Linked DNA regions of Oryzias latipes. The protein of the gene in region 2 binds, or shares a complex with, the protein of the main gene of each other region. Links are inferred from orthologs where the notes say so. Each region holds a gene or a part of one and is shown on either strand. Other genes may lie near its edges.

What was found. The genes of interacting proteins can lie anywhere in the genome.
Region 1: med8 (region 2) and med31 share a complex: the UniProt entries of both Homo sapiens proteins name them as parts of the mediator complex. The link is inferred for Oryzias latipes from reciprocal best matches to the Homo sapiens genes MED8 and MED31.

The regions. Positions count from the first base shown.
Region 1 is NC_019872.2:23,702,761-23,706,925, forward strand, and holds the start of med31 (mediator of RNA polymerase II transcription subunit 31), read left to right. Parts: upstream 1-1,219; 5' UTR 1,220-1,402; coding exon 1,403-1,412; intron 1,413-3,027; coding exon 3,028-3,102; intron 3,103-4,165. UniProt on the Homo sapiens protein: Component of the Mediator complex, a coactivator involved in the regulated transcription of nearly all RNA polymerase II-dependent genes.
Region 2 is NC_019862.2:24,740,984-24,745,115, forward strand, and holds med8 (mediator of RNA polymerase II transcription subunit 8), read left to right. Parts: upstream 1-1,285; 5' UTR 1,286-1,378; coding exon 1,379-1,384; intron 1,385-1,516; coding exon 1,517-1,638; intron 1,639-2,666; coding exon 2,667-2,811; intron 2,812-2,894; coding exon 2,895-3,035; intron 3,036-3,113; coding exon 3,114-3,201; intron 3,202-3,272; coding exon 3,273-3,512; intron 3,513-3,588; coding exon 3,589-3,659; 3' UTR 3,660-3,833; downstream 3,834-4,132. UniProt on the Homo sapiens protein: Component of the Mediator complex, a coactivator involved in the regulated transcription of nearly all RNA polymerase II-dependent genes.

The DNA.
Region 1 (4,165 bases), on a different chromosome or scaffold from region 2:
ATATGTATCTTCCTGTTTTTTACAAACCTGTTGCTAACTCCTTTTACTTGTTGATAATAAAACTTTATCACTCAAACATGTAAAGAGTGTTATTTTATGGTCCACATTCAAATCCTTTAGGTCAGGGGTGCTCATTATGTCGATCACGAAGGATGGAACTGTAGATTGCAGGTCATCAAAAATAAGAAATAAATATCAAAATATATTTTTTAAAAATCTGTCAGTGAATCATCATCCTCGGCAGGAAAGATGTCACTTGATTGACATGCAGAACAGCCAATTGAACGTCCTCTGAAGCATACGTCACTGTGTTTAACTACAGCGAGTGCACTTTCTTATTTCTTTCTTCCTGCTGCACACAAATACATCAAACTCAAGGCCCCAACTGACAGTGTGTTCAGTGAATGTCTCAGGCAACGGAGAGGGATGCAGTGCTAGAGGACAAATCCTCATGGGAGGACAAACCGGACCATAACTGAAGCTGCTGATATCAAGAAGTGCTACCAATGGCTAGAAAGGGCTGGCCTACAGGACAGCACTGAAGCACTCATCCTGGCAGCCCAGGAACAAACCCTGAACACCAGAGCAATGGAGGCTCAGATCTACCACACCAGACAAGACCCAAGGTGTAGGCTGTGCAAAGAGGCGCCTGAAACAATCCAGCACATAACTGCAGGGTGTAAGATGCTGGCAGGAAAAGCACAGCCTAGTAAGATTGTGGAGCGCCACAATCACACATGGGCCACAATCATACATACATACATGGAGCGCCACAATCATTCATACAGCAATCATACGGCCAGATGCTGAACTACAAGATCAGAAATCCTATGAATCAAGTGTGAAACATTTTGATTACCTAAAGTTTTTGCATATTCTCATATTTTTCAGTGTTCAGAGAAAAACATTAACATCAGACTGGATGAAAAATAACAAAACATTTTCCGTTTACTGCTTTTTGATCATTTAATTTCTGTGTTTTTCCAATAAATAACAAAGACTCAAATAAACATGGACGTTTTTTATTCACTGTTCAAATTATTTCTGTTTCATGATGACATTTAATGTTTATTTCTTCAGACTTCAAACACTATATAACCAAAAGTATGATTAACAAGTATTTTTTATTTGTGTTGGGTATTTTCTGTCTCAGTTTTTGTTGTCCGTGTGCTGAACAACAAAGTTTTGTTGCAAAAGAAAAAAAGCCGTAAAGTAGATAGCAGGTGTCGCAAAGTCGGAAGTGGTTTTGCCCGAGTAGTTCACTTACGGCTGATGAAAGCTAAACAAAAGCAGCTGGACTGAAGATTTGTTAAACATTTAAACACATATAAGGATTTTCTGCTCTTTCTGGAAGCCCTGCTCAGTTTGTGGACAGTAAATAGTTACTGTTCGGGTCGATACCATGGAAACAGGTTTGTAGCTAAACCTATTTTTGTTAGCTTTGGTTCTTCTAAGTCTAACTATATGGGAGGATGATGAATGTCTTCATTATTCTTGTGTTTTTATTTGACATTTGAGAAACTGTGTATTTCTAACTTTTGTAAAAGACTTAAAGCTGTGTTGATGCTTTTATTAACCTGAGTTCGTGCGTACAACAAGCCGAAAATTTTTCGTAAATAATAAATTAATAATGTCGGCGATTAACGCGGGGATTTTTTCGCTGTAGTCCGTAAAATAAGTAATATGACATTTATGAGAAAGTTTAAAAAGATAGAATATGAAGCTCGTCCATCTTGACACATTTTTCATAAAGAAGCCAAAGTAAACCCCGACATACTAGTACAGGTCGCTTGAGCAGGAATAAGTAAGATCTTCAGACTGCATATAATTCATAATTTCAAAAACGTTGGGCTAATTTTAGCAAACTGCTAACTCTCTTTAACCAATAAATAAACCAAAGACCGACATAAGGACAACACACTAGTTCACGTGGGTTTAATAAAGCTCTATCAGGTTTGAATAACTTTGTAAATGTGAGATTTTATCAGACATACTACCTTAACTACCCCATTAACTCAATGATTCACCGGGGACAGTGGTCTCCAGCTCCATATCGGTACCACTCTTCCTTTTTTCTGTTAATCAGGTGTTTATGAAGGTTTTATTTTGAAAAACGACGTCCACTGCTCCACATCTGTCTGTGACGCTTGATGTTTGCCTCAGTCAGGCATTTTACCCACCTTCAGCTGCTAACGCACATTACTACAACGCTAAATAAAAACCCTCATTCTATTGAATATTACACAAACAAGCGTCAGGCCCTCTTAAAGGTTTCTCTGGGCAGAAAGCACCGTCAGTGAGGAAAAGGAAGAGATAGACACAACCGGGACACAGGGGTCAACGAATCAGTCACTGGGGGGTTTGGTTGGCCATCAAAGGACTCCAGCGAGGAGGATGTAAATCTCTAGCTCAGCACCAGTTGGACAGAACTGAAGAAACTGCTCGGGTGAGAGGCGAAACGTCTTCAAACCAGAAACTTTGTCCAGTTGAATACTTTTGGAACTTTTCATTTTATCATGACCTGAATGACTGAGATTCCACCCCAACATGGAACCAGGAGTTCTACTCAAAACATAGATTTCTGGTGACAGTTGTTCCCGCACTCACTGTGCGGTGACTGACCCTCTAAGGTTTTCAGGACACTGCTAGTAAAATTGTGTACTGGTTGAACTCACATTTACTTTAGTCAGACGTTTTTGTCGGTCGCATCTTTTTGTTTGGTTGTATTTAGTAGCCGAACCTCAGAGGCTCGTTTGTGAAAATGTAGTCTGACAATAAACCAGTTCTTGCGTCGCGCTTATATAGTTTCTAACTTATCACCCAGTCCACTGGTCTAACACAGGAAATGTGTTTGGGGAAATAAAACTCATTTACAGTGTTAGCATAACACACGAATCATGGAAATATCAGAGCAGCAAAAAAATAATAATAATAATAACTGCAGCAGGTCGTCAGGCCCAAACTGCTTATTGTTTCAGAATTCGCAGTGTTTTTTACTTTTGTGTGATGCTGTCTTTTCTGGTCCAGATGAGCAGGCCCGGCACCGCTTCCAGGCCGAGCTGGAGTTTGTGCAGTGTTTGGCAAATCCGTACTACCTGAACTGTAAGTCTCTTCATCTTTTCTTTAACATTTGTTCTTTAACTTCCCTGAAAAGTGAAGCCAGAAACTACATTCCTTAACTGGAAGTTCGTTTGGTTGGAGGCTTGAAATCCTTCAATAATCTGAAGCCCTGCAAGGCCTCAACACGAATATTCCATGAAAACCTGTTTTTATGACTGCCCAATGAAAAGAAGGAACAAAAAGCTCTGAAAAGCCAAAAATATTACTCCAATTTTCATGTTTTTCCATATTATGTATCACATTAAAGATCAGATTCACCTATTTTACTCATTTAGTTTTTTTTTTTTTTTTTTCCTGACCTTTCTTCATTAAAGACAGAAATGTGTTTGTTTAAACTGATAAATATCCTCACTTCTGTATGTTGCTCAGTGTTGGGGTAATGGATTACAAAGTAACAAATTACTGTAATTTAATTACTTTTGTCAGTAACGGTAGAACATAACAAATTACAGCTCATATTCTGTAATGAATTACAGTTACTGGACTATAGAAACCCTTGTTACTTTGTTACTTAGATTTTGCAGGCTTTGACTTTTTCTCTGTTAATTGAAATGAAACAGAGACTAATTATAAAAAAAGACGGAATTACTGGCACATAGCAGCATGGGGGATCGGTCAAAGTACAGACATCCCCTCATTGCTGCAGTCGCTTTGCTTTCCAAACTGGCTCAAAGATGAAAAAGACAAAAAGAGATCCTGCAAGGAGTCTTGTTATCCCTGAGGAGCAGCAGGTGAGCAGCAGAGCAGAGACTCGTGTACTGATGTGTCAGTAGCAAGTGAAACAACCTTAAAGTCGGCTCTTTGGTGTGAAAGACACGACCCGGATCCTTCCTGGGAGTTGTTTTTTTTTTTAAAGTATTAATTCAGCCTTTCTTACTTTATTGTTAACTGTAAGCTACACATGACTGTGTCTCTGGTCAATATGAGATGGCGCTCGATGCACTCCGTAAAGGGGGGGGGGGTAGCTCAGGGGATTCACAGCTGTGAAGGACTTTGCACAAAACACAGACGTAGATAGAGAAAGGTGCAACTCATTGTAATGGAA
Region 2 (4,132 bases):
AAAAACAAGAGGCTTCTTGAGGAAAAATGGTGAAACCGAGTTCTTGATCTGTGCAGGCTTTGGCAGAGAGAACGGCCAGGTGACCATCGAGTACTACTCCCAGCTGAAGACGGTGGTGGTGGAAACAGGCGATGTGGAAAACTACTTCTAGAGTTTCCGTTTTACACTCATTTCAGAGCAATAAACGAAACTGTGCAGACCTGTTGAATGTGGATGTCCTATTTGAACTTTTCTGGAGTGTCTTTTATTAACTCTTAAGTGTGTATGAACAGCTGGCATGATTCTTCAGGCTAATTTATTTTGTCACGTTGGACATTTGCTCATGCAAACATTATCTGAACTCTGATCCTGAAGTAAAAATAGCAGTTGCATATAGAGTTTACACTGCTAGAAACATTGATCCATCTTCTAAACCACCTTTATTCATGTATATAAAAAAAAAGTATGCTGGGTGTCCTAGAGCCCACCCAGCTACTGAAAGGCAAAGGTGGGATACACCCTGGGCAGTTCACCAGACCACTGCTGGGTCAAATGGTGTTAGGATTCAGTCTAAGAGACACTTTTGAGGTCTTAGGTCAGAGAGCTCTTCTCCAAGGTTGCACCAAACAATCAGGTCTCTGTTTTTATAAGGCTTGTATTTTAGTCTGATGCCTGGACCGGTGAATGTTAATAATAAAGCCGAACTAAATAGATAATGTTGATGACTCATAAACTTGAAAAGAACTGATTTTGTAATGGTTGGCCAAGATTCTGGGACATTTGGAGCTTCCACTAAAGATAACCAGAACAATATACAGCTTGTTACAGAAGACCCATGATCACACACAGAAACAAAAACACTAAACATATCATTTGTTTTTAATAAATACCAGGAAGACTAAATTGTTTCTGCTCTGAGCTTTTATCTCTGTCTCCCTGTAAGCTGCACCTTCTCTGTGCTTCCTTCACAACTGTCTGCAGGACTCATCCTCTGATTCTGCTCTCAGCTCTTCAATTTCACTTTGGTTGCTGCAATTTCTCATTTTTTTTTAGTCAACACCATCGTTGATTCTCTATTTTAAAAAAGTCAGTATAGACTGGATTAATGACTCTGACGGGACAGTTCTAGTACATTATTTTGGCCTGGAACAGAGAATTTGGACGAAAGAAAACAATATTAAAGGGTGCAAAACCCTCAGAAACAAATATTTATTGAACAATAAATAAAAAAAGAAAAGAAAAAAACAAGAGGATGGGTGGTATGGGTACCTGCTGTAGCCACAAGGGAGCACAAACACACCGTCAGATTTGACCAGAGAAGAAGAAGCATCTCTTTTTTTTGGAAAGCGCAAAGCGGAAGTACAACCTAGAAGACTTCCGGGTCGCTGACAGATCAACAATGCAAGTGAGTCTGAAATAATTTCACTCGGTTGTCTGTGATTCTTCTGACCTACTGTGGACGATACTTTGGACTGATGCTAGCTCGGGCGCTGTGTAATCTGTCCGGGCCTCTCTGCTCGTCCTTTTTGTGTTTCAGCAGCGGGAGGAGAAGCAGCTGGAGACGGCGGTGGAGTCTCTCATCTCCCGGGTGGCTCACGTTAAAAACGCCCTGAGCAGCTTCATCTACAAGCTGGAGAATGAGTACGAACGTCTGACATGGTGGGTCCTCCTGCCCTTATGACGTAACGTATCCCCCCTCCTTTGATTATGATAAATAAAAGCCTGGAAACATGCGAAGTTAACAAGTGAGTGCATATCGTGCGTGTGCATGTGTGCGCGAGCGCACTTAGACTATAAATCTTTGTTGATCCCACAAAAGGGGAAATTACCTTGTTGTTGCCATAGCTCCAATAAAACATCAGATATATATTAATAACACTAAAAATACACTTAAACAATTAACAGCAATCATTTTTGTCCAATGTCTATAAGGCATTGCAGAGTCTAATAGCTGACGGGAAGAAAGATCTGGGAAAGTGCTCCTTCCTGCAACAAGGTGTAAAGGAGCTGCTCAGTACACCCATACAAAGGATGATGATGATGATGAAGAAGAGGAGTGTCCATGATGGAGTTCAGTTTCTGTAACATTTTACTCTCACCCACCACAGTTACCGATTCTAGGAGACATCCCAGAACGTAGCCGGATCTCCGCTCCAGTTTGTTGATCCTCTTCTTGTTCCTGTTTGTGCATTCACACCTCCAGCAGCTCAAACCATAGAAGAGGGCAGACGCAACAATGCCATCATTAAAAAGAGTCCTGAAAACTCAGGAGAACCCCAGTCTCCTCAGTATCTCCTGCGATCTGGGATTGCTTCTCCAGCGGCATGTTGTTGTTGCCAAGCAACAACAGCTGACCGTGTAGACGATGTACCCACAGACCGCTTCAGACCCAGAAAGTGGGGGATAAATAGTCCAAAGGACTAGCAGGCACGCCACTGCACTTGTGTAAAAAACAACAATTCTGTCAAAAAACAGAATAATAATTAGAGAAAAAAAAAAACGAAACTAAAGAAAAACAAGCAAGCCAACACAGATCTATGGTAACTGCCAGCTTGTTGTAGCATTGGTGTCTGTATTTGCGTGCGTGTATTTGTACGTGTGCATGCGTCTTTTAGAAAGTGTTTGTGTCTCCATGTTTACCTGCAAAAGTTTTCTCACCCCCCTCTCAAATCTTTCCTGTCCCTCAGGCCATCTGTTTTGGACAACTTTGCTCTCCTCTCGGGTCAGCTGAACACCATCAACAAGCTGCTGAGGAACGAGAAGACCCCAGCTTTCCGGAGTCAGGTCATCATCCCGCTGCTCCTGTCTCCTGACCGGGATGAGGATTTAGCTGTGAGTGTCGCCGCAACATTTGCAGGCTGTCCTGTGTGGTGAAAGACCTCTAACTATCCTGTCCACCCCCACACCCCCCTCAGAAACTCACAGAGCAACGCGTCCCGGTGTTCAGTCACGAGATTGTGCCAGATCACTTGAGGACCAAGCCTGACCCCGAGGTGGAAGAGCAGGAGAAGCAGCTGAGTGCAGAGGCGGTCAGGATTGGTCCTGAGTTGGCTCAGGTCAGGAGGCGCATGGATGTTTGTTATCTGTTGTCTGTGCTCAGAAGGTGTTTAGTGTTTGTCTGTGCTAATCCACAGAAGCATATCCAGGCTCTGAACAAGCTGTGTTCCAACCTTCTGGAGAAGCTGAACAACCCTCGAGAGGACAGAGAGGGAGATGCTTCTGGTGGGTCGCTCGTTTGTGTAAATCCCTTGTTGTCCTTATTGTAGAAAGAGCTGAGTGTGTTTATCTTCCAGCAGTGCGGCAGAACAAAGCGTCCTTCAACCCCACAGACACCAGTGCCTTGGTAGCAGCTGTGGCTTTTGGGAAGGGACTCTCCAAGTGTAGACCTCCTGGCCCTGTGGCCCCTGGCCACCCAGGGCAGGGGCCCATGATGAGCGGAGGTCCAACGTTACAGCAGGTCACTATTGGTGGCGGGTCAAACCAGCAAGCAGGTATGGGAGGGCCTGGGGCCCCCCAGCAGCAAGGTCAGCCAGGTAGGAAACTGTACTGGTAAAATGTATTAAGTTTTTTGTATTGGAGACACATTTTTATTTCTTTATTTTTGTCCAGGAAAAATGCCAAGCAGCATCAAGACAAACATCAAGTCTGCATCGGGTTCCATTCACCCTTACAACCGGTGATCTCCCCCGCCCGCCTCTTTACTGCTCAGATGCAGGAACATCAGTCTGTTACTGGGTCCACCTTCACGTCCCCCTTTGAAGCTCTCTATACAGCCACTAGGTGGCAGCATGGGATCCTTTATGGCTAAATCTTAACAGCACAATGACATGTTTTCAATAAAACCCAGAAAAGCAGCTTGGTTTGTGTGGCCTTTATTATACAAGTGTCTTTCTCTTGTTTCTGCACTGAAACGACGTGAAAAAACCTGAGCTCCGCTCTTCTGAGTCTGTGTTGCAGCGCTGAGCCTGATGGGGGTGGACGTTGTGTCACAACTTTTAAGGGAGAACGCGAGGAACTATTGCTGTTGACAATGGTGGTGGTGGGGGTTTTATTCCTGTCTGAGTGTTGGCCCTCTGTCTGCTCTGATCCTGTCTGGCTGTATGACCTACATCCACCCTCCGTTCCTTAACTCAGAGTTGAACAAAGACACATT